Lepisosteus oculatus: one gene and its partners. The protein of the gene in region 1 purifies or fractionates together with the protein of each later gene. This does not show direct contact. Links are inferred from orthologs where the notes say so. Each region holds a gene or a part of one and is shown in the gene's direction. Other genes may lie near its edges.

Region 1 (7,005 bases):
ACCAGGTGACCAGCCAAGAAAGCAGACAGACACAATCAAGACACATGCCAGAGGTCATAGAGATTATTAGGACAGAATAGAATTCCCAGTTCCTCACTCCCCCCACCCTCTTTTTCTGACACTATTCCTTCTGCTTCTACCCCTTCATTTATTGACTCCCTCTCCACCATCCAACCATCTCCCGTTCTCCCCTGTCCCTCACCTCCTCCAGAATTCGGCGAATGCCCTCAGTCGGGGCGTCACGGTAATTCTGGGGGTCATGTGAGAGGAGCTTGAGGACTCGCTCCCGGCCTCCGGGCAAGCGGGCATACACGTCCGTGAAGGTGCCACCCCGATCGATTGCAAAGTCAAACTTCTCCAGCACGGCCGCCATGCTGAGGGAGAAGAGGAAAATCGAGGAGAGACGGCAATGAAGGGACCGATTGTATGTAAAATAAGCAAGACAGCTGAGTATACAGATATTGTTGTGGCCAAGGGAAGAAATGTATAAAGTGGTAAAATATTGAGGTAAAAATAATAATAATAATAATAATAATAATAATAATAATAATAATAATAATAATTGCTTACACTTATATAGCGCTTTTCTGGACACTCCACTCAAAGCGCTTTACAGGTAATGGGGACTCCCCTACACCACCACCAATGTGCAGCATCCACCTGGATGATGCGACGGCAGCTATAATGCGCCAGGATGCTCACCACACATCAGCTATGAGTGGGGAGGAGAGCAGAGTAATGAAGCCAATTCATAAAGGGGATTATTAGGAGGCCATGATTGGTAAGGGCCAATGGGAAATTTGGCCAGGACGCCGGGGTTACACCCCTACCCTTTTCGAGAAACGCCCTGGGATTTTTAATGACCACAGAGAGTCAGGACCTCTGTTTTACATCTCATACAAAGGACGGCGCCTGTTTACAGTATAGTGTCCCCATTACTCTACTGGGGCATTAGGACCCACATGGACTACAGAGTGAGCGCCCCCTGCTGGCCTCACTAACACCTCTTCCAAAGTTTTAAAGTTTCCTTCAATTCAGAAAGGTCCTTCACTGATACTAGACAATACTTTGTTATTGGGTGAAGTATTTTTCACAATATGCCCATAAATACTGGTCAACACAGGCAGACCTGGCTGCCTAGAGAGGACAGGCTGTTTTCCCACTGTCAGCAGGACAGAGACAGAGATGCACTTTCTGCTGTAGTGCACGACATACTCTGGTATCAGATAAAGATACCTCCTTAAAATAACAAGTTTAATTTCCATTCCTGCTAGAATCACAACAGTTTCCAATCCAACTGCGGGAGAGGATTAGAAAACAAATATAGAGCTGGAAGCCCAGTAGAAGATCAACTATCACAGACTCAGAAACGAAGATCGAGCTTCCCAAATAATATTTTTTTGTTGTTGTAGATGACTGAACATGCCTTTGAACTTGTTATTGCTTTGGCAATTTCATAATTGGTTGGTCATGCCAATAAAGCTCATTGAAACTGAATTTGAATAATTGCAATGGACTATACTGCCCAGCCACACAGTATAGAAAGATACCCCGGGATCTTAGACACATCAGCCTGGCCCTGTAATGAGATGACCTACAAGTTTAATTCTGTAGCTTTTTACTCCAGGACAGGACAATATTTATTCATTGTTTGAAAGCAACTGTACATTTTTAAGGGTAAAAATTTAGCAACAGAGTATTCTAGCAATACTGTGGAAAAGAAAAAACAAAATTGATGCCTTCTCTTACACAGGGTTTTGAAAGATATGGTATTTGTATTTGTATTTGAATGCTCAAAAAAGGGACAACAAAGAACTTGGTCCCGCAAGTTTAGTTTTTCATAGTGCCCACAGATGCATACTACTGTTACTGCAATAGCCAAATCCACATGAACAGAGATTAGAAGCCCAGTACTTGCTATGGCAAACTGTTCTCAACAGTTATCAGTTAAAGCTTTGTGAAAAAAGGTTAATGTGTAACATTACACTTATAGGTAACTACAAAAGTGTTTTTTAGAGTTTGCACATAGAGTAGATAACATTCCCTTTCTATGTTAGATGACATGGGCATTAACTCAGCCTCATAGCTCTTGGGTCCTGAGTTCCATTCAGGCCTGATGTGCTTTCTCCATGGAGTGTCCATGGTCCTGTGTCTATTCTGGTTTCCTCACACCTTCCAAGCATATACTGGTAGGGTTACCTAGTGTGCCTGTTTGGTTACCTAGTGAGTGTGTGTCCTGTGATGGACTAAGTGATTTTTTTTAGATTACATGCACTGCAGGAATCAGTCAGTAAGTTCTCAGAATACTGTTTTTTCAGTGGTTTTACTGGTTTTTCTTCCAGCTTGTACTTCTGTCTTGAGCCATGTGCTACTAATAACAGCCCTAGATTGCCACAGCTACTATCAGGAATACATGACTTTCTGCATTAGATTAAATGACATTCCTTTTTAAATGTCTCTGTAAGAAGTTCTGCATTTCTTTCACTGCCGAACTGTTGAACCTGTGTTGTATAGTTCTGGATCCTGTATTACTCTACTATGCATGTACACTCTAATGCATAACATATGCAAATCTCCCAGTCTTTCCCAGCAATGTGCCTTGGAACTCCTGACACTTCTCAGACACTGTCCAGAGGGACCCCAGAAACAAATGTAAAAACTTCACCCCAAAAACCAGTAGCTTCATATAACACCCTCAAATATTCTACAGCAGCTGTCCTACTACATATCACATCAGGTGGACCAGGCTATATTAAAGTGTTAAGATAACACCTCAATTATCTTAACATTTGCTCTTAGATCTTTAACACACACAGATGTTTTGTTTATTTCTCACCACAAGGATAGCATACCTTACAGCAGTGTCCCTGGACACCAATGTGAGGCACTGGTTTGGAAATTCTGGTGCACAGTCCCCCCTGCTGGTCCACAACCATTCACAGCAGCAGCCTGGCTTTCCTTGGAGGTCTCCTATCCCAGTACTGACCATGTCTATGCCTTCTAAGCTCTGCGATTTGACAGTTTTGCCAGTTACCCCTGGTCCAAGATTGGACTGCCATTTTTTTTTTACATTGTGTATCTTTCCCGATATCTCAACCGTGAAGAAAAGTAACATTCTTGACTTGTTGCTTAATTTCAAAGTAAATTCTACTACTTTTTTATTTCTAAACAGTATACAATTAAGTTAAAATTAGTGATAAAGAAAGATACATCGTTAACGTTGACAACATCACTGCCAGTTTCCAGTTTATCAGTTTTCTCTGCTTTGCGCCGTACGCAGATTGTACCCAGTCAAGTCAGACTTACATCGAGACAAGCACTGAACACGAAGTATGAGTCTGGCTCCAACACGGTCTGACGTCTCGCAGTCTCGGTGTGATTTTCTGATGAAATCGAGGTTGTTGAACAGTGGAGTGCAGTGAGATCTCCTTTACCTGCTTTGTTGACACCAAACTGTACCTGTCTGCTTTACGTTGACCTCGGGGACTAACTAAGCTCCTTCTTACACCTCCACAAGCTACCTCTCTCTCTCTCTTGCCACAGAAAAGATCTTATCCAGACTGCTCTGGGAGAATGCATGAGACCTGGCCGGCCAGCCAATCAATTCCCGAGCCCCGTTCCTCCTCTCGGCTTTGTTATTAAAACGCTGTATCTGCGCTTTCAAGCTTGCAAGAAACTTTGGGTTCAAAAGACAACGTTATCATGCATGGTGGGTCACTGACACCCCCAGGATGTGAGGAGTTTCGAACGTCTTTAATATCCCCGAGGGGCAAACTGTTTAACGTATTAACCTGATTTGCTTATTTTACTGTAAACATTTTTCTTTGTCGTTCAAAATGCATTTAAAAAGTATTTGCATCTTCTATATGTTGTGTAATATAAGCGTCACAAGCTAAAAGTAAAAATGTTTAATTTTAATGTTTTTAATTGAGAGACTCAAACAAAAACGTGTTTAATGGGACATCACGAAGGGCAAACATGAAATCCCAAAAATGCGGAACATTACTGACAAGGATTTTATAATGAATATGCAATACACTACGTAAGACAAGGAAGATGACGAACAAGATGACAATATATAGAGCGACGGCAAAACAGAAGGATTGTGGGTATAGTAGTTTTTTTTTTATTTGACGGGCTGTATCACTTTCGCACATGAGTTTTGAAACATGGCCGGGTTAGAGTTGCTGTCCGATCAGGGATACCGGCTGGATGGGAGGAAGCCTTCCGAGCTCCGCAAGGTGCAAGCCCGCATGGGGGTCTTCGCGCAAGGCGATGGGTCTGCCTACATCGAGCAGGGGAACACCAAGGCGCTCGCGGTAGTGTACGGACCGCATGAGGTGAGTCTCCTGGCAGGCAGGGAAAGTAGCCGGGCCCGGGGTGTGTGTAGAGTAGGCAGCCTACTGCCTTTCAATGACTGGCATTAATTTCATAGAGGATGATCGTAACGTTCGAAGCTCCTTTGTGAAAGTGATTTATCATTTTTGATTAATCCGATCGACGTTGCCGTTGATGCACAGAGGAAGTTACATGCAACGTCAGGGGTATGCTCGAGACGATTCAATCTGAAAGCTGTACAGTTAGGTTGACCGTATACAGTTTGTTCACATGGACTATTTCAGTAAGAATAAGACCTGCTCTTTGAACGAGATTACGTTCACTTTTTTAGTTACGTAATGCAACCTTCTTAAATTAACCACAGACGAAGTTATTTTAAATATGAATTCGTTAGTTGCTGTTTCAGTTCTGCATATACTATGCATATGCTATCAGTCTATTTTCTAAACACTTTATGCAATACAGTGTTGCAGAATGGCCTGAACCTATCTCGGCAAGCAACAGGAGCAAGGCAAAGTACACCCTGGAATGGATACCAATCCATCCCAGGATGCACACAACACACACACACAGGACCGATTTTTTCTGGACAGTTGGAGGAAACCCACAAGAGGCTGATTGGAGAACATTCAAACTCCACACAGAGATGAATCCAGGAATTGAACCCAGGGCCCCAGTGCTGCAAGGCAGCAATACAACCACTCTGTTACTGTGCTGCCCATGCATATCCTAATATGATCCAGGTAGCTTTTTAGGTTTTATAAATAAGCCATCTACAAAACCTACCTGTAGTGAATTCTCACTTTCATTGATCAGTGGGTTTAACAGCTGATGGGTGTTGTGAGTTATTAACCACCAGTATGTATCTCTGCAACATTTTCATCTTAATTTGCATATGAATTATTTTTAGTTTCAGGCAATTTTAAAAACTTATAGATGGGCTGAGCAGTGGCTCTGTGGCTAAGGACCTGTGCCTGTTGCTGGACGGTTGCTGGTTCAAATCCTGAAGCCCCCAGAGGAATCCTACTCCATTGGGCCCCTGAGCAAGGCCCTTAACCCAGCTGCTCCAGGGGGGCTGTACAATGGCTCACCCTGCGCTCTGACCCCAAGCTTCTCTCCCTGTCTGTTTGTCTGTGTCTCATGGAGAGCAAGCTGGGGTATGCAAAAAGACGAATTCCTAATGCAAGAAACTGTACAGGGCTAATTAAGTGATGTTTTGTTACACTGTCTGAAAGTATGCTTGGGAATACAGTTATATGGAAACTGTACAGTATAAACATGTATAAGTGATCTCTGTGAGCAGCTGGAACTCTAGGTAATTTATTATCTTGTCGAGGGTAAGGTCATATTATCCAGTAGGCACAGCAGGTACTCTACCTAGGGCACAGGAAAACTAAAAAGCCTGTGAAAAATGTTTTGACCATTTTTCTATATCTATGATAACAACTATAACAAAGATCCCTCCTTGAATATATATATATAGAAATTATAGGCTATCTGAAAAAGCATTGGAGATGATGCTGAGAAACATCTGTGAAACTGAGCTATAGGGCCTGACTGAGGTTAAATACACACAGACAGTGGCACAGCAGTCTGTGCTTCTGCACAAATGGCACCTCAAGTCACCATTGCCTGTGAAGCAATGAACAAGAACCACATCGTGATGGAATTTAAGTTCTTTGATAAATTGCCTTGTTGCTGAGCACTTGAACGTAGAACAGTGAAACAGCTGTGTGGGTACTCACATGGAAGTATGCCACTGTATACGTAGAACATCCAGACCTTCTGCAGACAAGACTGACCAGTCCATTAGGAAAAATATCACAGGGGTTTCACTAGTGGTGGCTGTGTGAAATGATCTGCAATTGAATGTAACATTAGCACTTTGCAAGCAAGGTTTAAAATGCAGTACAAAGACATTAGAGACGTCTGGTTATGCTTTTGGCAGAGGCAGGAAAGGGAGCGGACAGTACAGAGCAATACAGTGCACAGGAGGTAGTGGGAGATCTGCAGATCAGGTATCCTGTAGTGTCGTCTGATCTGCAGAAATGTTAGCCTTCCAGATTCCGAACAGTGAAGAGCTTAGCAGGTGTCCCTGGGTCTCTCATAGCTTGTGCAGTGCCACTGAGGTAATGATACAGTATTAGGCTGACCTCATAAAATATGAATGATTCTTTCGCCTTTTAAACTTCAGAGTTACATTAAAATAAGCCACTGTTTATTTATTTCTGTGTTTTGTGCTGTTCTCTGCTCCAGTGCTTGTTATAGTACTCAAGGTCTGCTGTACGGTGCTCTGGCGATTAGTTATGAAAAGTTATCAGTTATGAATTGCCAGCAGCCATATCACCCCGCAATTCACAACTGGCAACCAACTGAAGCTAAGCAGGTGTCAGCCTGGTCTGTACCTGGATGGGAGACCTCCTGGAAAAAACGGAAGGTCGTTGCTGGAAGAGGTATTAAGGTATTAGAGGGGCCAGTAGGAGGTGCTCACTTTGCGGTGTGTGTGGGTCCTAATGCCCCAGTATAGTGATGGGGACACTACTGTGGGGAAAAAAGGCACTATCCTTCGGATGAGGCATAAAACAAAGGTCCTGACTCTCTGTGGTTGTTAAAAATCCTAGGGTGTTTTTAGAAAAGAATAGGGGTTCCCCAGCATCCTGGCCAAGT
Region 2 (7,664 bases), on another chromosome or scaffold:
TCTGTCACTGACAGGCTCAAACCCACCACCAGACAAGTCCATCTGCATGCGGGAAAACACCTCTTCCAGTTGAGCTACTCGGTAAACAGCCAAGGGCTGTCACATTGGCAAAGATACTAAGGAGATACAACTGACAAAACTTCAGTCTGGCTAGAGTTTAGAAGTAAAAGTGCATCTATTTTTCACATGATCTAAGCCATAGGACAAAACAGACTGTGCTTGATTAATGTCGGGTTTCATCAGCATAGAAATAACAGCTGCTGCCACATCTACGGTGAATCTGACCCAGTGGAGGTTCATTCAAGTGTGACACTAGCAAGTAATGTAACAAGACATATTTTACAAATGTCTGACACATAAACAATTAAGCTTTCTATTCAGTAACTCAATGTTGCACTTAACTCTGATCACAGGACTCTAAATTAAACTCTAAAAAACACTCATAAAACAGCTTTTAGCTCCTAAGGGCATGGTATGACAGTAATATTAAAATGTAAGACATAAATCATAATTTCTTCTTGCATGCTGTCAACAATTTTTATGGAGAACCCAAGTGTCTCACCAAGCGAAGGCACTTGCTCCACTTAATGGCTAATGTCTGTATTGCATGCATCCCAAGTTCAAGCCTGAGTCATGCTGTATCACCAGCAGGAGGTGGGACACATCCGGCAAGGGGCAGGTTGTTCTGGGATCTGTACACTGGCGGCACATTGGTTAGAATTTGTGCCTCGAAGCGCTGGGGCTTTGTGTTCAGTTTCAGACCTGAGGTGCCGTCTGTACAGTTTGTTCTCCCTGTGTTTAATAATAATAATAATAAGAAGAAGAAGAAGAAGAATAATAAACTTTATTTTATATAGCGCCTTTAAAGGTTGCTTCTCAAAGCGCTTTACAGGATGACAATAACAATAAATAAAAAGACTACAACAATAAATAAGAAGATTTCACAAGATAGGACACAATTATAATTACAACAATACAACAATAACAATAGAGGAGGCTGTGGAAGGTGGTATTAAGAGCAGAGGGGTGAAGAATGGAACCAGTTAAGTAAAGGCTTTCCTGAAGAAGAAGGTTTTAAGTCTGGATTTGAAGGAGTTTAGAGAAGGTGACTCTCTGATATCCTTGGGCAAAGAGTTCCAGAGCTTGGGGGCATAGCAGGAGAAGGCCCTGTCACCCATACAATGTAGACGGGCTTGGGGGACAGTAAGGAGGGCAGAATTTGAAGAGCGGAGGTTGCGAGGTGGGGAGTAGGGCGATAAAAGTTCAGACAGGTATTGAGGTGCCAAGCCATGTAAAGCCTTATAGGTGAGCATGAGGATTTTAAAGTCTATGCGGAATTTGACCGGAAGCCAGTGCAAGGACTCCAGGAAAGGAGTAATGTGAACACTTGCACTAGACCTGGTCAGGATTCTGGCTGCTGAATTTTGGACATACTGCAGCTTGTTCAGAGTAGATTTAGATACAGCTCCAGCTCTCCCGCAACTCTGAACTAGAAGAAGCGGTTAGAAAATGGACGGATCTCTCAACTTTCCAGCAAACAGCGGCGACTTAGTCTCCCCACGAGCCTTATTCATTGTAATGCACAGCCCACGAGCCACTGTGTGGAAATAAAATTAGCCGTTTTTAATCAGTTGGGTTAAAAAAAGTAACTGATCCCAAAATAACTGATTCGAAATTATGTCCAGCCCTGACATCCACTGAGTGAAACACCAATTAAAGCATATTTTCCTAGTTATCACATCAAGTATCCCATTCCTCATCTTTCATTCATATTTGCCTACAGACTCAGTACAAACGATACACAATTTTGCATAAACTGCACAAGAGGTGGCGTCGATTGAGTTCTCACTAGCAATTGATATTTACATAATGCAAAACACTTTTATGTCTATGGTTTCTCGTGATATTTCTTCTCAAATGACTATTAATTGACATTTGCAATAAAGAAATACTCAAACTGCACTATGCGGTATTTAAAGTGATTTTCACACTGGCCCTAAGGCCGTTTCTGCTTACTTTTACTTTTTTCTCCTGTTTGATCAACAGTAATGAAAGACAAGTGGGCAGTGGAGCACAATGATATTTGTTCCTAATAATCAGTTTTATTCTGCTGTATAGCAACACCCCGGTAATCACTTGCACCAGTGGCAGAAGTTTAGCCATTAAACACGCAGTTCGTGTAGCTGAATACCCAATTCATCATCACCGGACAACCACATTTCTACGTGGGCACCGATATTTTTAAAATTAGGAAATAACAGTCGCTTCACGTGTGAAGAAAAAAACGTGTTAAACTGTGTTTTTCCTCTTTAAAGAAGTACAAGAAGTAATTAAAAGCGAAACAGTCTTTTCGATGTTTCAGGTTAAATTCAGTTTAGTCATTTTTCAAGAAAAAAACGCGTGACAATGCAGTGTCTGAACAGCAGCTCCTTTATTAACAAAGTGTGAGCTACGCCGTTTTCTTCGTTTTTGCTTGTGTTTACTTCGTGGCATCATAATCTAGCTGAAAAACTGTTTTAAAAAATCCATCAAAACCACAAAACACTGAACAACATCATGCGAAAAGAGAAATGGTCTGTTTTGTCAAACACGATTTCCTGCTCGGCGTGTACTAAACTCAGATCTCTGAAGTGCATGCCGCCGAAGTTTATTCATCTTCGCTGCTATGACAGGTAAGAAAATTAGAACTAGTCAAAAACAAATTTCATTGTAAGTGGTTCTGCTTCGCGGGCTTTCGGAAAATAACGCACGCACACCTGATTGTATCAAGAACAGCAAAGTTCTGCTCAATCACAGGGATTGCCGGGCAAGCGCAGGAATTCATAAAACACACACCAAACAGGGGAGCATATTAAATTTGTTCCCGGAGCATAACATGAATAAACCATTTGCTATGTATATCCTCTCATGCGTAGCTGCTGCTCTCAATAAAATACAAGCTGCGCTTGTGTTCTGCGGAGAAAAGCTCAAATGGTCTCACAGGTGTTCTTGAAGGAATTTAAAAGTCATACAGTTAATTTAACCTTTGAGAGAAAACAAAAATATTGTATCCACGGGCTATAGGAACATCGCTAATATAGACAGACCAACCAGACTCAGACTCAGATGCTCGCAAAAGGAAACGAATATACACAACTTTTTGTGCTATTCTGAAATGATCCTCATGACACAGTATGAAGTGTGGAGGGACTAATCTACGCTAATAAAGGATATGTAGAAAGTGATGTTAAAATTAATATTATATTCGGAATATTTAATGAAAATACATGCATTGCCCTATAAGTATTGGTGAGTTATAGTCTTCTCCCCAAGGAAAAGGGTGTCAATGTTTCAAGTGTTGAGCGTTATTCAATAACCATTTACCTGGAAACCAGGCAAACCATTCCACCGGGTTAAAAATCCAATTTCAACTCACCCCCACAAGACTCTTCTACGATGTTTCCTAGAGTTGACTGTAAAAGAAGACGGTATTTCAAGCAGTAGACCAACGCTTAGTCGTTCTCGATCTTCAATCGCTTTAGTTTGGCGAGAGTTCAGCGCTCGCAGTCCCGCCGGCCCAACGTGAAACTGCACCTGAAAAAAAAAAATCGCTCCTGGTTTGGAATGACTTAATCTCTCGATTTTTCTTGCTCGATCTTCTGTCAGAAACGGTTCAGTCCTGGTAAGGAGAGCGCACCCCAGCGATCCCTACGTGGCAGAAACAAGGCGCAAAGTGAGGGTACCCCCTGGACAGATGTACACACTCGCGTGTCTCTGGCGAGGAAACTCTGGCCAAGTAGGAAAGCCAGCTGCCATATCACCCTGCAACTCCCCACTGGAGCACAGCAGGTGAGGGCCTGGTCAGTACCTGGATGGGAGACCTGGGAAAACTAAGGTTGTTTCTGGAAGAGGTGTTAGTGGGGCCAGCAGGGGGCGCTCACCCTGCAGTCTTTGTGGGTCCTAATACCCAGGATAGTGATGGGGGCACTGTGCTGTAAAAAGGCGTAAAACCGAGGTCCTGACTCTCGGTGGTCATTAAAAATCCCAGGGCGTTTCTCGTCCTGGCTACATGTCCCTCTGGCCTTTAACAGTCATGGCCTCCTAATAATCCCCATCTCTAAACTGGCTCCATCACTCTGCTCTCCTCCCACCGAGACCTGGTGTGTGGGGAGTGTACTGGTGCACTATGGCTCCCATTGCATCATCCAGGTGGGGGCTGCACACTGGTGGGGGTGGAGGAGGAGAGTCCCCGTTACCTATAAATCGCTTTGAGTGGAGTGTCTAAAAAACGCTTTATAATTGTAAGGAAGTATTATCATCGGGGAAGAACATGTAAACTCCACACAGAAGGAGCCCCAGCCCGGACTCAAATCCGAATGCACAGCATCAGTTCTTAACCGTGATTATATAGATCCATTTACGTGTATAATAAATATATACATTTATCATGTGATATTTATAAAACTGGTCTAAACCGGGCACTCGGATTAGATTTCGCCCATCTTGATGCGACCCTGTTTTGTAATAGGCGACAATTGCAAATGTATGGTTCAACACTTTGTCTATGGTCCGCAACAGCGGCGGAGTGGAGACACGTGTAACTGTGTGTTCCGTAGAGGTAACTCTGAATCGGTGATCCATTGGCCTGGGCTTGGGGGGGGGACTGCATCGGCAGATGGATTGATACTGTCTCGCTCGGTGTACTGCAGCGTGTTCCTCTCCGCCGTCTGGAGGTTTAGCATTAGTCTGAGTAACGTAGGGTTGATATTTTTAGAAACATTAGATTTTTTTTTTTACTTTGCCGAACTCGGTGGTTGAAATGGCAAGCGATGGTACCGCGAAGCTGTCCAAGAACCTCTTACGAATGAAGGTAATGTGTTGTAGTGTGGCGTCTCAGGACTCCTAATCGATTTGGTATCGGGCCTTTTTTTCCCCCGTGTGTTAAATGTTGAAAATTGCATGCTCCTTTCCCAAGAGATTCTTGTGTATAAACTGTAAAATCATGCACGAGTTTATAGTAAGATATTAAGGACGTGTGTGTCATGAAAACCTGGATACTTATTAAGAGTACTCCATTAATATCCGACAAAGTGAGTGCTTTTGAAACACGTTGAGAGGGCTATGAACGTAACTTTTAGCCCATGCGTTTGATAAAAGTGCACTCGATTTTCATAATGTAGTAGTTTATAACCAGAAGTACAACAGTCAAGTAGATTTCTTTCATTTGTTTAAGTATCTGCTATTATCAGTAATGTAAATATCCTGTCTGTCTCTGTATTTAATCCGTGTGTGACGGTCCCATTATGAAGCCTGTTATAGATCAGTAGAATGTCCTGCATTCCTCGGGTTTCATTTCCTAATCTGCCTAGAGAATCCACGGAAATGTTAACTACTGCCGCTAAGGAGTTTTTTTTTTTTCCTCTTTTATAAGTTGCTTCTTTTTGGTGACATTTGCAAATGTACATATCGGGGTATGTCAGAAGACCTCGGGTGTTCCTCTGCTGCTGATCCTAGTGGAGAGGCTGAACCCACAGCAGCTTGGCGAGTTTCTCTGCCAGCTACTGTGCGCGACTGCAAAAATGTACTGTAACCAGTTTTCTCAGTTCATCGAATACCCTGATGTGCAAAAGGAACAGAAAAGACCGATAAAAAGATGTAATACTGTTATACGCTGTGAAAGAAACTGTATTATCTTCTGTTTCATAGTAGTATAATGTATCTCTACGCACAGCATGACAATTCTGCCTCCGTGAGAAAGCACGGAGATGAAGGAGCGGTTCTTAGACGCACAGTGAGCTCCTTTTTAACCAAAGGGCTGTGGGAGTGTGCAGCTACACAGCTAAGCTGACGAGGCTGATACCCTGGCTTCTGTCAGGAATGAGCTGGATGAGAGCCTACGATCAATTGAGTACCGAGCTGGACACATGGGGCCTGATGGCCTCCTCTCATCCGTTACTGTTCTTAGTTATACATAGCGTGGAGTACAACATATCAAAAAGGGTGAGCTTATATATTTTAAAGAGATAATGTGAAAGTTTTCAAATGACTTCATTTTGAAGCTTTCTGTAGAAGGAAGATCAAATAACCCACCAGGTTTACAGATAATCGCACTGAAAGCCAGTGGCTTGATTTTTTGTCGTCTCTGTTCAGTCCTTGGAACATTTGTCCTTGAGCAGTCTAAGAACTCTGTGTTCCTGTCTCTCCTGCCTGTTTTCTTTTTTTTTTCCGTTCTGCACTGAATTTGTCATCACGGTGGGGCCCTGTAAATAGGGGGGGGGATAAAGCCCTTTCAAAAATTTTCCCGACACGCCGCTTCTCAAGAATTGTCTCGGGGCCTCGTGCATCATTCGGTCCGCTCGCTGCACCTCATTAACGCGCGAGAGATCTGGCACGGCGCTTCTTTTCGTTTGGGAGAGCCGAGCTGTGCAGGTTGTCCCGGGTTTGAATTACTTTAAGTATTCCTGTGAAATGGTAGAGTGCCCAGTAATTGCCTCCTGCTGTGTATCCCAAGCCTAAGAGAAGCTTGAGATGTTAAGACTGCTGGAGACATGTGAAGAATATTGGGGTTGTCAGGGAAGAGCACGCTTCGCAGATCCTGCCGTTAATCACCAAAGCACATGAAAGACAAAAGTATCAACAGCTCAATATGGTCTGCCAGTTTTCAAGATAGTGGGTTTACAGGTGCAGGTTTCTTTTTTTTCCCCCTCTTTTCTGGTGATCGTGTTTGCTGAGCTCGCAGATCTCCCTGGTATTTTCCCAATGAGTTCTGCTTTTGTGTCCTCTCCTCCCACACTTGGAGGGTTTATCCGACTCATTTCTCAGACATCGGCCGTTTCTGTCCAGAAATCAACATTGTGAAGAGCTTTAGATGCGGCGTGTTTTAAACACGACTCGGGGCTCAAAGCACACGATGCGCAATGTGCTGCTTCAGTAAAGAGATGTGGACAAAAATGTTTTCTTTTTCTGATAAAGAAAAAAATCTTGGCCTTTGCTAGGTTCTTGGCTTTGTGGGAAAACACAATCACACAGGGAGGGAACTCTCTGGCTCACTTTTATTAAATAGTATGTCTGGCCTTAACCCCTGGAGCTCAGCCTCTTGAGTGATGGCAGTTCAGCTGTGCGAACAGGGCAGGATTACAGCTGGTCAATATAGGATCCTGCAGATCTGTGCTGTGCTTTTTCTATAGTCCTCACTACCCCATGCTCACTCGAGCAGCAGGACTTTGTGCAATATGACTACTTAACTGGGAGAAGGAAGTTCATGTTTAGTGCCAACCATTTAATATTCAGTATTTACCGGTTTTTGTGTGTGACATTCCCTGACCACCCTCTTCAGCCTACTCAATGATGAATTGTTCTTTTTATACCACATGTGTGTTCTCTTCGGCCTACAAGTATTCCCAAGCCTCTCATGGGTTGTTGCCAGCAGAACATTCAGCTGAACAGCTGGGTATGAGCTGGTTTCCCAGCCCCTGTCTTGTGACTCTGTGAGCAATGGCAGGCCTGGAGCTGTGGTTTGTTTGACTGAAGCACGATGCTCGTCTTTCCCCAGTTCATGCAACGCGGCCTGGACGCAGAAGTCAAGAAGCAGCTGGAGGAGGAAGAAAAGAGGATAATCAGCGATGAACACTGGTACCTCGATTTGCCAGAGCTCAAGGCCAAGGAGTAAGTCCAGCTTTTCACCC
Region 3 (7,846 bases), on another chromosome or scaffold:
GGATACTCATCCCACTTCCAAGTAGATGCTGGTGAATTTGTTTTGTTTTTATTGAGCCAACCGTTTGACCATAGTTAGTGACTCAGTCTTAAGTCTAAATGCCACTGGTATGGCATACTGTACCTTACACACCTTAAATACTGAAGACTTACATAAACATAGAACCCAGAAGAGACTTGATAAAAGTTGGCAAGGTATTGTTTTCTGTACCTAGTGCACCGACATTTTTTGTAGGTTAATTCATTAAACTAGTTCAGGTGGGCAGCTGCATCAGCATGCGTAGTCTACCAAGGAACAAGTAATACGTTTATTCCATGCTGAAAAGAGAAGAGAGAAAACACATGGTTTCGGCTGTGAAGCCTTCGTCAGGTGCTCACACCTCTTCTCTTTTCAGCATGGAATAAACCTATTACTAATTCATTAAACTATTTAACATTTCTCATCAATGGGGTTGATTGATGTGATCTACAGTGAACGTTAGAGGTTTGTCGTGTGTGTCACCACTGTTGCAAGCAATAAAATAATGTGCGATGCCTGCTTTGCACCAGACTGCAGTTGCTATCTTGTGAGATTCTGGCTCATTCCTCTTGCAGAACCTAGCAAGCATTTGCCTAGTCACTGGTCACTGGGCCCAAGATCCAGATCATCACATGAATATTTAGTGGAGGTCAAGTCTGGCAGGTAAGGCATCCATAAAATTGCTGTCACATTTTCTTCTTGTCTGAAAGCCATTGGTACACAAGAAGCATGAGGACATGTGTTGTTCTGCTGGAATGTTGTCATGTTACAATGTCACATGGAAGGCCAGCGAGACAGGGGTCTCAGGACTGGTTCAATGTAGTGCCATGCACTCCGGTTGCCATCAGTCACTGCAGGTAGAATTCTGTAGGGATATTGTTTAGCTGTACCATCCTGCCAATTTAAAAATTGGTGGCCCTGAATGCCCCAAAACCAATTTTAAAGCATTAACAAATTTGACGAAGCATAACACAGTCACTTTATCAAAATGACACCAAAACATTCAGTCAAAATCCAAAATCTGCATACTTCAATTTTTTTATACATAATGATCATACATAGAATTATTATTTTCTTTTTTTCCCTTGCAACAAGAAGTAAAAGAAAAAGAAGAATAAGAATATAACAAAACTTTGTTAAAGTGGTGCCGAGATTCATCCTTCATAAGAAATGGAAGTAAATGCTCTATCAACAGTTCACAAAGTCTTAACTGTTATGAAGCCAATGACAGGCCTACATTATAGAAAAGCTTTATGATATGGAACTATTGTGATGTACTGTACTGTATATATTTGAGAAACTCTTGTTTGAGGATTGTACTAATTAATTTTAGCACAGTGTGGGTATTTCAGATTTTTCATTTTTTCTGCAATTTGCCAAGTAAACTATTCACCTTTTCAGGAAAATGAGTGGAGTTAGGAAATACCACATACTACCTTAAAAAAATAAATGCTTTAAAATAGTAGTATACCGCATACTACTGTATGGCTGTGTACAGAAGTATAAGAAAATAGTATGTATATATCTGTTATGAGCATCAACAATTTACTAAAAGCCTCCATTAGTCTGTTCTACTATTATAGTAGCTTTGTTATTAATACAGCTTAGTTTGAGAAGAAACTAGAGTTTCTCATTTTGAAATCTGAAATTCATATTGATTAGAATCTCCAAAAATGTGCTTGCTGTCCGTTTGAATTCTTGTAGTAGCACTTACCACTAATATCTCAAATATAAAAGTAATTGTCAAGTTTATCGTATTGTGAAAGCCATTAAGTGCAATGAACAACAACTGAAAATCTTTTATAACATCCTTAAGAAGAATCTTCCTATAATCTTCTTTTAGACAAAAAAATAAATACTTCTGAATATACATATGTGGGATTTTATTTGAAATGTATATTTTATGTGACAGAAATTCTAAAATTCTGGATTGAGATTAGGGTACAAACATTATGATTTTAAGCCTATTTCTATATCACACAGATTTAATAAGAAAATCCTTCCCTAGTTCAAATTTCCCTTCTAGTTTCGATGAAGAAATAATAATGTTTTATCTGTTTAAGAAGGCAACAAAGCAGAGCTTGGTTTCTGATTTTTCTTTCAATGACATTGAACAAAGGAAGAAAGTGAAAAAGGTACATCTGTAAATTTGCTTGCAGCATGCAGCACACCTGTCCACAAAAAGGTGTCTCATCTCCTGTGGATGCTGCTTATAAAAATGTTTATTTGAAAACAGTCAGGTCATTGCTCCACTGACATCGACATGCCCAGCTGTTATGTGAATGGACACTTAGACCTTAGCCTTTCTCAGTGCAAGCAAAAAGAACTATTTTCTCAAAACAATGTCTATATAAGCTGTGTCACATAATGTTGATGTTGCTGGCTCTTCAGCTTCACCAGTTCAGAGAGGGACTGTTCAAAATGTTTAGAAGAAACCAAAGAAGTAAGCATAGGCAAACTATTTAACACCTTTAAGTAATACTCATTTCTGCCTTACTGTATAGATTGAAACTGTAGGTTATTTTAGGAGGAAATGTAATTTTTCACTCATGACAATTTCTTTCCTCCTGCAACTTTTGTGTCTGTAAAACCTACTGTACTTTATGGTATATCAATCTAAGCTGACTGTCCAGCTGGTGCCAACTGTAGTTTAAAACATCGGGTAGGCTGTGCAAGTCATCAAAACCTACCGGTATTGTTTTCCAAAGCTTTGGTAAGTAGAAAATGAGGTCTGTCATTTGTATCAGGGGTGCACTGTAACTAAAACATTTTACTCAATTTGGACTTAGATTAAACCATAATAAACATATTTTGGCAGTTACCTGAAAGGAAGGTCTCCTGCTACATGTTGACTGTTCACTGAAATTAAATAATTTAACTACTGTATGTCATGCAATTTATCAGATGTCTGGAATGTGTGCTAAAATTTTTGTCATGCCATGTTCTTCATATTGACGATCTTCTGTGCTACAAGGGTGTAAAGCTTTGAATGAACAATATTTTAGTTTCACTTTGAGAACCATCCATTACCTGAAAGCTGCTTATCCCGATGAGAGGACAGGAGACTGGAGACTGGAGTCTATCCCAGAAGCTGTTTCACAAGACAACAAAGCAGAGCTTTGAGGGAGGGATCCAGGTAGGATCCAGGTAGGACCAAGAGCACATGAGTTGCCTTCCGCTGGACGGGACCTGAGTCCATTGCAGAATCATGGAGAAAGCGGAAATTTAGCACAGCCAATAATACCTAGGCAGCACTTCTTTAGAAGTTGGGAGCAAACCAGAGCACCTGGAGAGAACTCATTTCAAAATCTGGAGACACAGTCACACCTTAGGCCAGACTAGGGCTATGAGACATCAATGTTACCTGCCATGACAATGTACAAAATATCTCTTTAAAATAACGGGTATGTAATCAGTATAATGGTTTTGAGCCGCTTAAATTATAACTAATGGAATGGAATACTAATGGTAGCTTACTTTACCAGTGTTAACCCATCATACATACTGGGCTCATTTCACACCGAAATGATTTTTACTGGCCTAAGCCAAAGATGGATATTATACCAGTTTACTTACTGTAAGTAATTCAAGTAAAACCAGAACGTGAGAGAAGAGGCTATCACAGAGAAAGAACTGCATTATCAAACTCCTTACAGGGTCTGTGACCCTGGTCCCTGACAGCCACAGTCTCTTTTGGTTTTAACTCACAGCAGAGTTCTTACTGACTTATTTGGATTGAGCCTTCTCTTAACCACTAGAAGTTGTTATTGTTCCAGATCTCCCCTTGTCAGCTACTTCAATTCACTTCTAAACCTTTTGAGACTACGGATGACTAGGACCTGCATCCTGAATGGTTCTCACTTCCATGTTTCCCAAGTTATGTTTGGTCTGTTAGTACTGTATGTAAAACAGCTTAGTCTCCGGTGTTTTGAAGTGCTTTTTAATATTTTTCATTACACCTTTGAAACAATAAAAATTACAGTCTAACTTTCCAAAGATTGTCGAAGAGAACCAAACTGGATTTAGCTGTTTGAAAGAAATTTAGCTGTGCTGAATATAGTCACAAACTCTGGATTGTGTGTTTATGCTCCCTTTCAAACAAAGGGTTAAGAAGAGCTGAGTCAGACAATACAAAACACACTCAACCTGTGCCCGAGTAACCTGCAGGAAACCCCAAATATGCGTCTCTTCTACATTTTCAAAAGGATGTTTTTCCCTACGACAAGTGATTGATCAGCTTGTGCAGCTTGCTGTTGTCATAACCTTGTAAAAATGTTAACAGCAGGTGAAACAGTTATTAACCTTCATGAACTGTTCAGGCCATAACAACGCGTTTAGCACATTTTAAAAGGGCAGATTGTACCTGCATCGTTGTCCTCTTTTGTTATGACTTAAAAGTCTCAGCCACAGATTGTTTGGTTTCATAAATTACACAACATGACACCCCCTTGCCTCCTCCCCCACTAACATATGTCATGAGAAAGTAAAAGTAAGAACAAAATAGAAAGAGCCCTATTGCATCTTTGGAAAATTAACAAGTTTCTTAAAATGCTAACATGCTTGTCTTTTCCAGTTTAAGTATTTTCTTTTTCTTTTTGGAGTACAGTGGATCAATAGTTTGGAATATTTCAGTTTATGATCGCAGCAGTATTGAATTCAGAATTCCACTTTCATTGTGTTACAGACCCAAATATTTACTAAAGATTGACTGTAACATGTCAATTTAGGTGAGCAGGTGTAGGACTATTGCTTGAAATAACTAACTTAATTTCACTTCGGCGCGTCTCAATGGTTAACTCGGCACAGGCAGAAAAACGGAGCTGGAGCAGAGAGCTGCAGTGCGCTTGCTTGGAGAATGCGCAGTGAGACGTCGGTGGAAACAAACATGGCGGCTGGAAAATGAAACGAAGCAGCTACGGTTACATTGCTGATTTATCACCAACAGTGCGGTTTTATCTTTAACCACCTATAAAGGGGCGAAGGGAAAGAATCCAAAATGTCTCGACACAGAAATGTCCGGGGCTATAACTACGACGAAGGTAGACGCTCTTCCAAGTTGACTGTAAGATTGTGATATTCCCTTGTCAGGAAAATGGAAGTGCTGTCGTGTCCCTTCCACAGGCTGGGCACAGGCCAACGCTTTAGTCAGAAAGTTTTATAACATACGAGCTAGCGGATACATAAAAATAGCTGTAGTTATTCTATAAAAGCGCTTTTGTGTACGAATTTGCGAATGGAATGAAACTGAATCTTTCCTTTAAAAAGCAAAACAAGATGTACTTCATGTGGTTTTACATTTCCCCCATTCATCCTGGCCTCCTCCTCGTTTCAAATTAGCAGTACTGATAGTTTAGGACACCCCTGTACGTTAGTCATTATTGAACATTATAGAACTTCTGTAGCTTTATGTAAATAGTTTTGGTGTTTAGGTGCTTTTAGTAGTTAACACAATTTGTGTCATAAGACTTAACTGTTCATTGCAAATACCTACCAGTGTGCAACGACAGATAATACATAGTGTACCATGCTTAGATATTTTCACAGCTACAGTTTTGTATACACAGATTTTGAAGATGATGATCTATATGGGCAGTCCGTGGACGATGACTACTGCATTTCCCCTGCTACAGGTTTGTGGGATGCGTTTCTTATGTGTCTGAACTTGAATTCTAAAGTTTTCTGAATCAAGATTTTGCCGATTTGATTAGATGGTTTTCTAGTGGTCTAAGCACTGTATTTGTTGAACATGGACCTCATTGAAGATGTGGACGTTTATGCAACTTGGTTATTTTCAATTTGAAAGCTAATCAAAGGATTCGATATAAAACCTAAATTAAGTGGATGAAAAATCTGCATATTTTGTTTTGTAATGTTTTGAACATTGGCTTTTATCTTGTGTAGTATGAACTACACATGATGGATGCGCATGGATAAGTGTGAAACTATTTCTGATTAGTATAGTTTTAACATAATCACACTGTTTGTGGTAAGACTTGGTGATGTTTCACACATTTAGGGTTTTTATTACTTTTCTTTTTTTAATTCTTTCTTGGCAGTAAATATGGATTGTTAAAAGTTGGATATTCTGCATTTTTATGATTCTACACATGATATTGTATTAAAACATGCAATTGTCTTCTTTGCATACTTATTTAACTTTAACAAGAAACTACAGTTTTGAATAAAGTCATATTTTGGTGTGGCAGGTTTATCAGTATTAAACTAAAGACAAATGAACAGAAGCATTCTGGGATGATGTGTCATCTGAGCTAGTAGATGAGTATGCAATGTCTATATCTTTTATTGGTCAAAGCCATTTGTAATATCTTGCATCTCTCTAGTTACTCAACCAATTTATTAAAATTCGTGTTTGCCTGGTAGGATTATCCATTCACAATGGAATAATGTGGCAGTGGGTTTGCAAGTGGTCTGGTATTTGACCTCTTTTGGCATCAGTTGTAGCTGAACACAATTAAAAAACAGTTTACTAAAACGTGTGACGTCTGTGTTAAAGCTATCTGTCCACAGTAAGTTTTTACTTTCAGATGCTTAGTGTTATTTGTAAATAAACGTTTTGGATCTTTCAGCCAGGTTTTAAATCATTTTTGGACAACTAGTGTGATTTGTCCAGAGTATCCTTGAGAGTAAATACATTCAACAAAGTAAATCAATTTAGTGAATTTTGGGAGAAATGAAGAGGCAATTTATGGAAAAGGGACAGATGATTTGCATGTGTAAGGATGCTAAGTAACCTATTGAATTGTGGCGACTCATGTATGTTGATGTTCACTGTCTTAATGTTTTGAATTTTTTTGTTGCCAGTATAGTTACAAAACGATCCCCTACCATGGAATGAGGCAGCTTGACTTCTTGTGTCACAGTTTTCTGCAGATGAAATGATGGCGCATGCGTAAGGCGGGAAATTCTGGATGATAGATTTTGTGCGTCTCCCCCCTTAATATCCCAGTGTGCTTGTTTTGCAGCTGCCCAGTTCATCTACTCCCGACATGAGAAGCAGGCAGCCTATGCAGAGCCCCTGGAGGAGGAGTATGGGGCCGAAGAGGAAATGCCTGTCTCTCCCAGTCCGAACCATCACAAACTTGACACTCTTTCTCAAGGTATAACACAAAGCTCAAGTGATTTTAACAGATGTGACATTAATTTGATGACGCTATCAGTTTGCAAGTCATATAACATTTTCTTGATGTTAATGAAAGGCGATCAGCACAGTTCCCTCACACACTTCTTGTTTCCAGGGCAGCTGTACTCCTGTCTAGATCAGATGCGAACAGTGCTTGGCGATTCCATCCCTGATCCTGTGTTGGTAGAAGCTGCACTCAGCTGCCAGTTTGACCCACAGAAGGCTCTGGACTTAGTGCTTTCTGGGGAAAGCAAGAACACACCAGCAAGAAATCAGCAAGACAATGTGTCTGCTGTGAAAACTGACAGAGGTATGTTTGTATTGTCTTAATTCGTTCTGTTGTTTATTCAGCAAGCAAAATACATTTCTTTGCGCGTGCGTCACACCTTAGATTTTCTCATGACTTCGAAACCCTCAGTCGTGCAGTTGGTGTGTGCAATTCTGAATAAGCGGACAGCAAAAAGTTTTTTCTACTATCTGAGGCTTTCACTAAATTGCATTTCAGAACACTGTTGCTTCAGTGTTTCCAACAAAGTCAGGAATAACTAAATATTTACACAGAGGTATTGTAGTTAAAACCCTGTTTAAATATTGATAGTAATTAGGAACTGTTTATTCACTGAATAATATTCCCTCATTATTACCTGTAATGACTTGAGAATTAATTTGAGAACATGAGAAGTTCAT
Region 4 (7,565 bases), on another chromosome or scaffold:
TGCTTTTATTAAATGGTCAATTTTTTGCATTATTCTTTTGTCCGGCCTGTACGTGTTTTATGACTTCTGCATGCAGCCCTGGACTTACTGCTGGGTTCGTTAGTCATAGTATGGCTTTGCATTCAGTCGAGCGCGTGCCTGAACTTCGCCCAGTGGAACCAGCACAGATACAAGGCTAGAGTTACTCCTGTTGCAATGGCATATTAAAGCAAAGACATGATGCCATTACTATCCCCTTAAACATAATCCCCAGGCATCCCTCCAACCTGATGCTGGACAGACTGAGTGGGAAGATCCTCCACATCGACTTTGGCGACTGTTTTGAGGTGGGTTTGTGAATGATTTTCGTTACTCCGCAGAGCGCAAAGTGATAGGAAGAGGTGGAGAGATGATATGGGAAGGACCCACTGTTGGCAGTGTAGGCGTTGTGTCTGCTGGGGAAGAGAAGAGCTCTTTCCTGCAAGGAACAGAGTGAAGGAGATATTAACGCTAACGTGTTGCTGTGGTTGACAGGTCGCCATGACCAGAGAGAAATTCCCGGAGAAAATTCCTTTCAGGCTGACCAGGATGCTTACTAATGCTATGGAGGTGAGCGGGTGTATTTAGGGGGGGGGAAATGGTTAAAAAAATCTTTATAGTGCAAAATAAATGAATGTTACACAGTAACAACTGTGTTGTGCGTGCACTGATGTTGATGGCACCATGCAGAGAGGTCAATAAGAAAACCAGGGTGCTGTTAGAAGCAGGACTGGTGAGTCCAGGGATGCGGGCCAGCCCGTGCTCTGGGGTCTCAGGGTGTTCCGCTCCGTGTTTGCCGTCCAGGTGACGGGCCTGGATGGGAACTACAGGATCACGTGTCACACGGTGATGGAGGTGCTGCGGGAGCACAGGGACAGCGTCATGGCCGTGCTGGAGGCCTTCGTCTACGACCCCCTGCTCAACTGGAGGCTCATGGACAGTAAGGGACCCGCAGCTCAGGCCCCGGGGCCAACCGGTCCGCCAGCCTGACTACCCACAGAAAACATCCTCTTTAAATCTTTATCATGGGAGCGTTCAGGAAATTGTAGTCTTCTGTGTGTCTTTTATGTGTTGCCTATCATAAAGTACACATGCTTTTAGCCATAGTTGCATCTTAAATTTAACTGTGTGAGAACTTCTCATTTCTGGTAGTAGCCTGTGCATGACCTCTTGCACCAGTACCACCTTGAACTCGCTCACAGCTCTTCGGTTCTGTCCACAGCGAACACAAAAGGGAATAAGCGATCCAGGACGAGGACCGACTCCTACACCGCGGGGCAGTCCGTAGGTGAGCACGAGGGCTGGGAGGGGTGGCACTGTAGCAGAGAGGTTGGTCTCAGGACGTGTTCAATTGGGATGTTACCTGGTGAATATGGTGGGCAATCAGTACATGGCTCTGCACTCACTCTCAGCCTTCTGAGGACTAGAGGGAGAATATTAAATTGGTTTGCTTGTGCCTCTGCTCTGTAGCAAGCCTACTGAAGGAAAGCAAACTTTTTTTAAGGCCATATCATGGGCTCCTTGGATATGGGTGTTTATGGCGATGAATCATTAGGTGATCAAATCTATGTAATTAAAAGTGTCAAATTTAAATCAAAGGATATTATGTTAAAACTGTAAAAATGTATCATTGAGAATATTGTTATAGAATAGATATTGTTGCTTTGGAATCTGTCCAGAGAAGAGCAACCAGAGACCTTCTGGGACTTGAGGGACTGAACTGTCCTCCACTGGCAGTCTGAAGGAACTGAATCTCTTTCATGTGCAACAGAAAAGACCGTGGGGGGATCTGATAGAAATGTTCAAGGTTTTCAAAGGCACTGACCCAATCAAACCATTTAAAAACTAAGAACAAGGAGGAATGTTTTTACTCAAAGAGTAAAGCAAGCTACCCAGCCAGGTTATGGAGCCTGACTTCTTTCAAGTAACAGTTGGATGAGATCTTTGGAACAAGAAGAAACTTCATGTCAAACGAGCCATGGTGGTCAGTTGATTGAACTCTTATTTCTAGCTTTCCCTAAGAAGGATCTGCATTCCAGAGTGGGAGAATCCAAATGGGGTGTAGGGTGCAGAAACGGTCAGAATAACGTCTTCATACCGAAAAAAAAAATATTCTATGCTTTCTTTCATTTTCAGAAGCCCTGGAGGGAATTGAGCTTGGTGAAACGACACACAAGAAGCCAGGAACCACAGTGCCTGAATCCATTCACTCCTTCAGTGAGTTCAGACTCGCAGGAATACCGGCGTGTCTGCTATCTGGTCATAGACCATAGAGCTTGAGAAAAGATTGTTCCCAAGAAGAGACAAGCTTCTCTTTTTCAATTCTTACCACAGATGCGTGGATCAGAAAACCAAAACAACAGTGAACGTTTCAGTTTGCCTTTGCCTGTCTTCTGTCTTAAAAAAACATTTCCATTTCTAACACCACAAATTGAATTGTTCATTGATAGCACATGAAGAAAGACCTTTTGTCAACAGCGTGACAGAAGGTAGGAGAAGGAACACAATACTGGCATTCTTTAACTTAATAGAATGCAGAAAATGTCCTACTTTATTTGGCTGAACCAACTTCCTTTTGTCAAACATTTCAATGCATTTTCCAAAACATTCAGCAAGATAATGGGGACACATGTTTTTGAGAACTGAATCTAAAATGTTTTCTCCCTTTCAGTTGGAGATGGCCTAGTGCAGCCTGAAGCCCTGAACAAAAAAGCTATTCAAATCATCAACAGAGTCAGAGACAAATTGACCGGTGAGTACAGCACAGTCAAAATGCCATCAAAGCTTGGAACAATCAGGCTTAGACATTGGTGAACAAACTTGTTTTCCAACAATGTGGGTGAAGTACTATATGAGTGTATCTCTTAAACAGGAACTCCCCATCTGGGAATAAAACAACTTATCTTTAAAATATTACATGAGAAAAGCACAGCCCAGAAAATCCACAGAGATTTTTTCATTTTTAGGAAATATTTGTTCAGTCATGTAGTCTGAAGGGTGACACCACCTCACATGAATAAAAGCCTGGAAGCTGTTTATTCATGTGAGGGACATCCATGGTCTACATCTGTACAGCTTTGTTCTTGCACTCTAGAACAGCTGTTTCGCAGCAACAACTTTGACCAAAATTAATGATAAAGTGGACACACATTGAAAAACAAAAAAAATGATGTTGCATTGAAATTGATATTAAAGGTTTTAAATAAGTACTTAGCCCTCATCCCCACTTTGATATGACACATAGATTAAAATGAATTACTCGCTGTTCCTGGAGTCCTGAAGGATGGCTTCTGATGCTTCCCTGCTTGTCCCCTCTCAGGTCGGGATTTCTCCCACGATGAGACTCTGGACGTCCCAACTCAAGTGGAGCTCCTAATCAAGCAAGCGACCTCCCACGAGAATCTGTGCCAATGCTATATTGGATGGTGAGCACTATTGGTGCCTACATGAATCCCCAGTTGACAGATTGGGGTGTGGTTCTTCAGATATGTCCAGACAACAGCTTGTCACTGTAGGAGAACGATAGATGATGTAGGCAAGAAGGGTTCGGCCAGGGTGGTAAATATACCAAATATACCAAAGCAAACTAAAGGATTGTTGTGTAATACTGTGTCTGGGGATTAGGAGTTCTGCCCTTCTGTAGACAGAGGTGAAGCCTACAAAAGGTTAAGACTGGGATTCCGACGAGGAGTTAGGTTTTGTTTTATTGGGATTTTTTTGTACTGAAAGAATTTGTATTTCTGCAGAAAAAGCAAGCTGACACATCAAATCTCCCCTTGAACAAAAGGAAATCTGCAATCTGAGGCATCTGACTTGTTTTTCCTTTTCTCCTCCTACAGGTGTCCATTTTGGTAGCAGAGCTCCTACATCTTTTTCTCTCTACACCGTTCACTAACACTTGGCGCCATGCCGATCACCACAAAACAGACTCCGCAGTTCCAGACATGGAGACGTATAGCAGTGTTAATGGCACATTTTGAAAGCCCTGAACGCAATTTAAACCTAAACTGAACTCAAATGAGGTTACTGCTGTGGACTTGGAATGTTGTGAAATGCCACTTGCGTACTGTTAAAATGAGTTAAATATAAACTAAATTTAATTTAATTTACTCACCATAAACTTTTGAATTAATATCAGTCTGCTGTAATGTACTGTAAGTTTTCTTTGGCAATAAATAGTAGATAAAAAAAGACATTTGCATACTCTGTGTGTTCCTTTGTTAAAAAAATGTATTACTGAATTGTAACTTTAAAAAGTAAATGCGTTTCATATGAATACTATTGGGTTGACTTTTCTTCAATCTTGTACTTTTGCATTGGTTGGCCAAATGTAGATTTGAAAGCAAAAGCAGCTTTATCCAATATGTAATTTAAATAAATCACCTAACACGAAATAAATGAGAAGGGACATTACCCCCACTGTCCTGATAAAGTTGCATTGTAGGCTTTATGTGGTAAACCTATTTCTGAACCTCATAGCGATGTCTGTTGTGTATCGAATCTGCTGGTGTCGAATCGTTGTCTCGTTTTACTCAAAAAGAGTGCTGCTCTAGAGTGGTGGCGGCGGAGGAGCACTTTGAAATGAAAGTTTTATATAAATACAAGGGATTATTATTGTTATCATACTTTGATTAGGTACTGTTGGTCTTATTATTTATTATTTTCTTCGGCCATGCCGCCCGGTTCCTCCCCCTCCCCTAAGAGGAGTCCACGTCTCGCGTGACTTTAACATTTTCAAGATGGCAGCGTCCACGAGCAGGAGTGGCAGAGGCAAGGGAAATAATATTTCTCCGACAAACGAAGAGGCAGAGGGCGAAAAACCAGAACTTTTGCCCGGCTTTAAGGATGCCGATTCATTTGTGAAGGTTTGTGGACGAATTATTGGTGAATACCCCCGGTCATTCTCGTATAAAGGCCTGTGGGTGAATAAGGGTTCACGAGTGGCGTGTTTACCAGCTCAGCTGTAAACGGTGTAATTAATAAAAAAAGACGGTGTGATTAAGGTGCAGAGTAGTCACGCTTTATAAGGCTCTATGAGTGATGGCTACCGTTTTTTAAGTATTATACCACAAGGTGCAGATTTTTATCTCCGTGCGTTCCCCCTAAAAATGCAACGAGCTTTGCTGTTAACGTGGAAATGTCTGGTTTTACCTTTCCCGACGTTTTAAGAAGTACCATTAAAAAAGTGTGCAAAATCCACAGTGTGATATGCTCGATAAGAAGCACTGCCGTTGTGGAGTATAAACCTTAAATTGTACGAGCATACGCATCTGTATCGTGTTTCGGTTGTTTAGTTTCAATTGGTTTTTGACTGGCTGCTCTTGACAAGTGGCTCTTTGAATCTGTTTTACAGCACGGCTTGGGAACTGTAGTAGCGGCCACGAAAGCTTCTGCAAATCTGCCGCAGGCTGGGGACGAATTCGACTTCTACCGGAGCTTTCCCGGATTCCAGGAGTTCTGCGAAACGCAGGGAGAAAGACTTTTGCAATGGTAGGCAGTTATAGTAAATGTGATTCAGTATGTAACATAAAAAGCATTGAATGGATGCTGGTGAAATTAATAACTGTATCGTTTAGATCCTGTGTAAAAGCGACTTCATGCGTGTACAGTCCTAGGAGTTCTTTCTAGCTACGTCAGTAGCTGATCTGGTAGTAGTGAAGTGCTGTTTAGATCAGTCAGATTTTTACTAGTTTGTCTGAAGCTCTCTCTGTGTTATTAGTTTTATTTGCATTATCAGCTTATGCATGCATGCATATAATTGTGTACATGAATTCATACATGAAAATATACAGAGACATTGTAAATCTCTGAAGTGTTTCTAGTGTCTTTAAGATTGCTTGTGACGATGTAATGGATGTATTTGCAGTATGAGTCAACTGATGCAGTACCATGGCTGCAAATCTCACATGAGAGATCGCAACAAAGTGACTGGCCTGGAGGAGAGATTCGACTTGCTGGTTGACTCCAATGATGTCATACTGGAGAGAGTGGTACAGTATAATCTTTTTCCTGGACAGCCTTTTCAATGTAAAACCAGGTCCAGAATGGTAGAAGGCTTAGGGCTCTGGTCTGCCCAAAAGGTCATGGGTCTCACTCCTTTGAACGAGAGTCCAAACTTTAAAACTGAGAACCGTTTACAAAAACAGTAATCGTTTTGGATAAAAAGCAACTATCAGATTAATCAAAGCAGCTCGAAGGGCAGAGATAGTTTTAAAAGCTGTAACACTGTTGCACTGACTTTTTGGTTGCTAAGATTTTGTCCGTCATTGTGTTTTGTTGGGAGTGTGCTGTAAAATGAGACAATAAAGGCTGAATTGGTAAAAAAGCCGTTCAAGAGCAGTATAAAGCACACAAAAACAAATTGGCACCCTTCACCAACCAGGTTTGTTAAACCAGCATTTTGGTTACTAAACTATAACTTGTATTGCAAATCTTGAGGAGCCCTGCTTAAAGCTGATTCTGAGTTGATGTATAATTCTTTTAATGCATATTCTTCTCAAACCCTTGATATATCTAACTTGTCATGATTGGCTTTAAATTATATCTGTTGTTGTTTTTGCAGGGAATACTACTGGATGAGGCTTCAGGAGTGAACAGGAACCAGCAGCCCATCTTACCAGCTGGTATTCAGCCTCCAAAGACCATCGTATCTAGCTGGAACCGCAAGGTAAGACCGCTCATGGCTAACCATGAACTCACGAAGCCAATTCACAGGCTTCAGGTGTTGGATAAATCGGAACTTCTATCAATCTGTAAATTCCATACTCCTGGCTTCCCACAGTAGACCCCTTCCATCTCCGTTTTGGAAAGCCATTGTAGGGTTCGGAATTCCCAATTCACAGTCTGTCTGGCTTTAGAAAAGTGGATGTCTCGTGCTTACCTTTGTTTTTTCATAACTTGCTCTGTTTAATAGCATCCAGCAAAAGTCCCTTGTCTCTTGATTCCTAGAGCAGGGATTCCAGCAAGGCGGCCAAGTCTGAGACATTTCGCCTTCTGCACGCAAAAAACATTCAGCGTCCTCAGCTGAAGTTTCGGGAGAAGGTCGACAATTCTAACACACCCTTCGTCCCCAAGATCTTCGTCAAACCCAACGCGCTGAAATCCCTTCCAACGTGTAAGTTGGTCCCAAGCGTCTTTGACCTTGCAAATGTCATCTGGAAAAGGAATTTGTATGAGGCAATGCAGGTATGATGATCAGTCTTTGACATTGTAGGTCTGATTCTTTTTACTCGTTTGTCTTTTTAAGATTTTACAGACCAAAAAATCCGCAAGGAGAGGCCTGAAGATCTGGATGTGCCTCCAGCACTGGCAGATTTTATCCACCAGCAGAGAACACAGCAGCATCTAGATGACATGTGAGAGAGCCAGTGGTTATTGGATATATATACCATTGTAAAATAAAACAAGTGTACCGTGGAGTGGACTTTATCGTGTCTTGTATTGCTTTAAGGCATTTGCCTAAAACTAACCAGTTAAGTCTAAGAGGAGTTGATTGTAATGCTCTTATTTGTAACCTTTATATTGTATTGCTTGGAATCTGCCACACA

What was found.
Region 2: the proteins of exosc4 (region 1) and mphosph6 purify together in Homo sapiens (affinity purification with mass spectrometry; 7 studies listed by BioGRID and IntAct, with this or other methods). This does not show direct contact. The link is inferred for Lepisosteus oculatus from reciprocal best matches to the Homo sapiens genes EXOSC4 and MPHOSPH6.
Region 3: the proteins of exosc4 (region 1) and hbs1l purify together in Homo sapiens (affinity purification with mass spectrometry; 3 studies listed by BioGRID and IntAct, with this or other methods). This does not show direct contact. The link is inferred for Lepisosteus oculatus from reciprocal best matches to the Homo sapiens genes EXOSC4 and HBS1L.
Region 4: the proteins of exosc4 (region 1) and exosc10 purify together in Homo sapiens (affinity purification with mass spectrometry; 9 studies listed by BioGRID and IntAct, with this or other methods). This does not show direct contact. The link is inferred for Lepisosteus oculatus from reciprocal best matches to the Homo sapiens genes EXOSC4 and EXOSC10.

Annotation. Positions count from the first base shown.
Region 1 is NC_090701.1:28,951,317-28,958,321, forward strand, and holds the start of exosc4 (exosome complex component RRP41), read left to right. Parts: upstream 1-3,985; 5' UTR 3,986-4,169; coding exon 4,170-4,340; intron 4,341-7,005. Other genes in the region: oplah (5-oxoprolinase), read right to left, coding at 203-373. UniProt on the Homo sapiens protein: Non-catalytic component of the RNA exosome complex which has 3'->5' exoribonuclease activity and participates in a multitude of cellular RNA processing and degradation events.
Region 2 is NC_090715.1:14,997,543-15,005,206, forward strand, and holds the start of mphosph6 (M-phase phosphoprotein 6), read left to right. Parts: upstream 1-4,650; 5' UTR 4,651-4,798; coding exon 4,799-4,849; intron 4,850-7,531; coding exon 7,532-7,644; intron 7,645-7,664. UniProt on the Homo sapiens protein: RNA-binding protein that associates with the RNA exosome complex. Involved in the 3'-processing of the 7S pre-RNA to the mature 5.8S rRNA and play a role in recruiting the RNA exosome complex to pre-rRNA; this function may include C1D.
Region 3 is NC_090697.1:50,019,648-50,027,493, reverse strand, and holds the start of hbs1l (HBS1-like protein), read left to right. Parts: upstream 1-4,846; 5' UTR 4,847-5,014; coding exon 5,015-5,057; intron 5,058-5,582; coding exon 5,583-5,648; intron 5,649-7,001; coding exon 7,002-7,136; intron 7,137-7,274; coding exon 7,275-7,469; intron 7,470-7,846. UniProt on the Homo sapiens protein: GTPase component of the Pelota-HBS1L complex, a complex that recognizes stalled ribosomes and triggers the No-Go Decay (NGD) pathway.
Region 4 is NC_090720.1:2,766,156-2,773,720, reverse strand, and holds the start of exosc10 (exosome complex component 10), read left to right. Parts: upstream 1-4,560; 5' UTR 4,561-4,757; coding exon 4,758-4,883; intron 4,884-5,371; coding exon 5,372-5,508; intron 5,509-5,884; coding exon 5,885-6,008; intron 6,009-6,580; coding exon 6,581-6,685; intron 6,686-6,966; coding exon 6,967-7,132; intron 7,133-7,264; coding exon 7,265-7,373; intron 7,374-7,565. Other genes in the region: serine/threonine-protein kinase mTOR, read left to right, coding at 254-326, 514-588, 823-958, 1,241-1,306, 2,155-2,235, 2,690-2,770, 3,338-3,443, 3,858-3,873. UniProt on the Homo sapiens protein: Catalytic component of the RNA exosome complex which has 3'->5' exoribonuclease activity and participates in a multitude of cellular RNA processing and degradation events.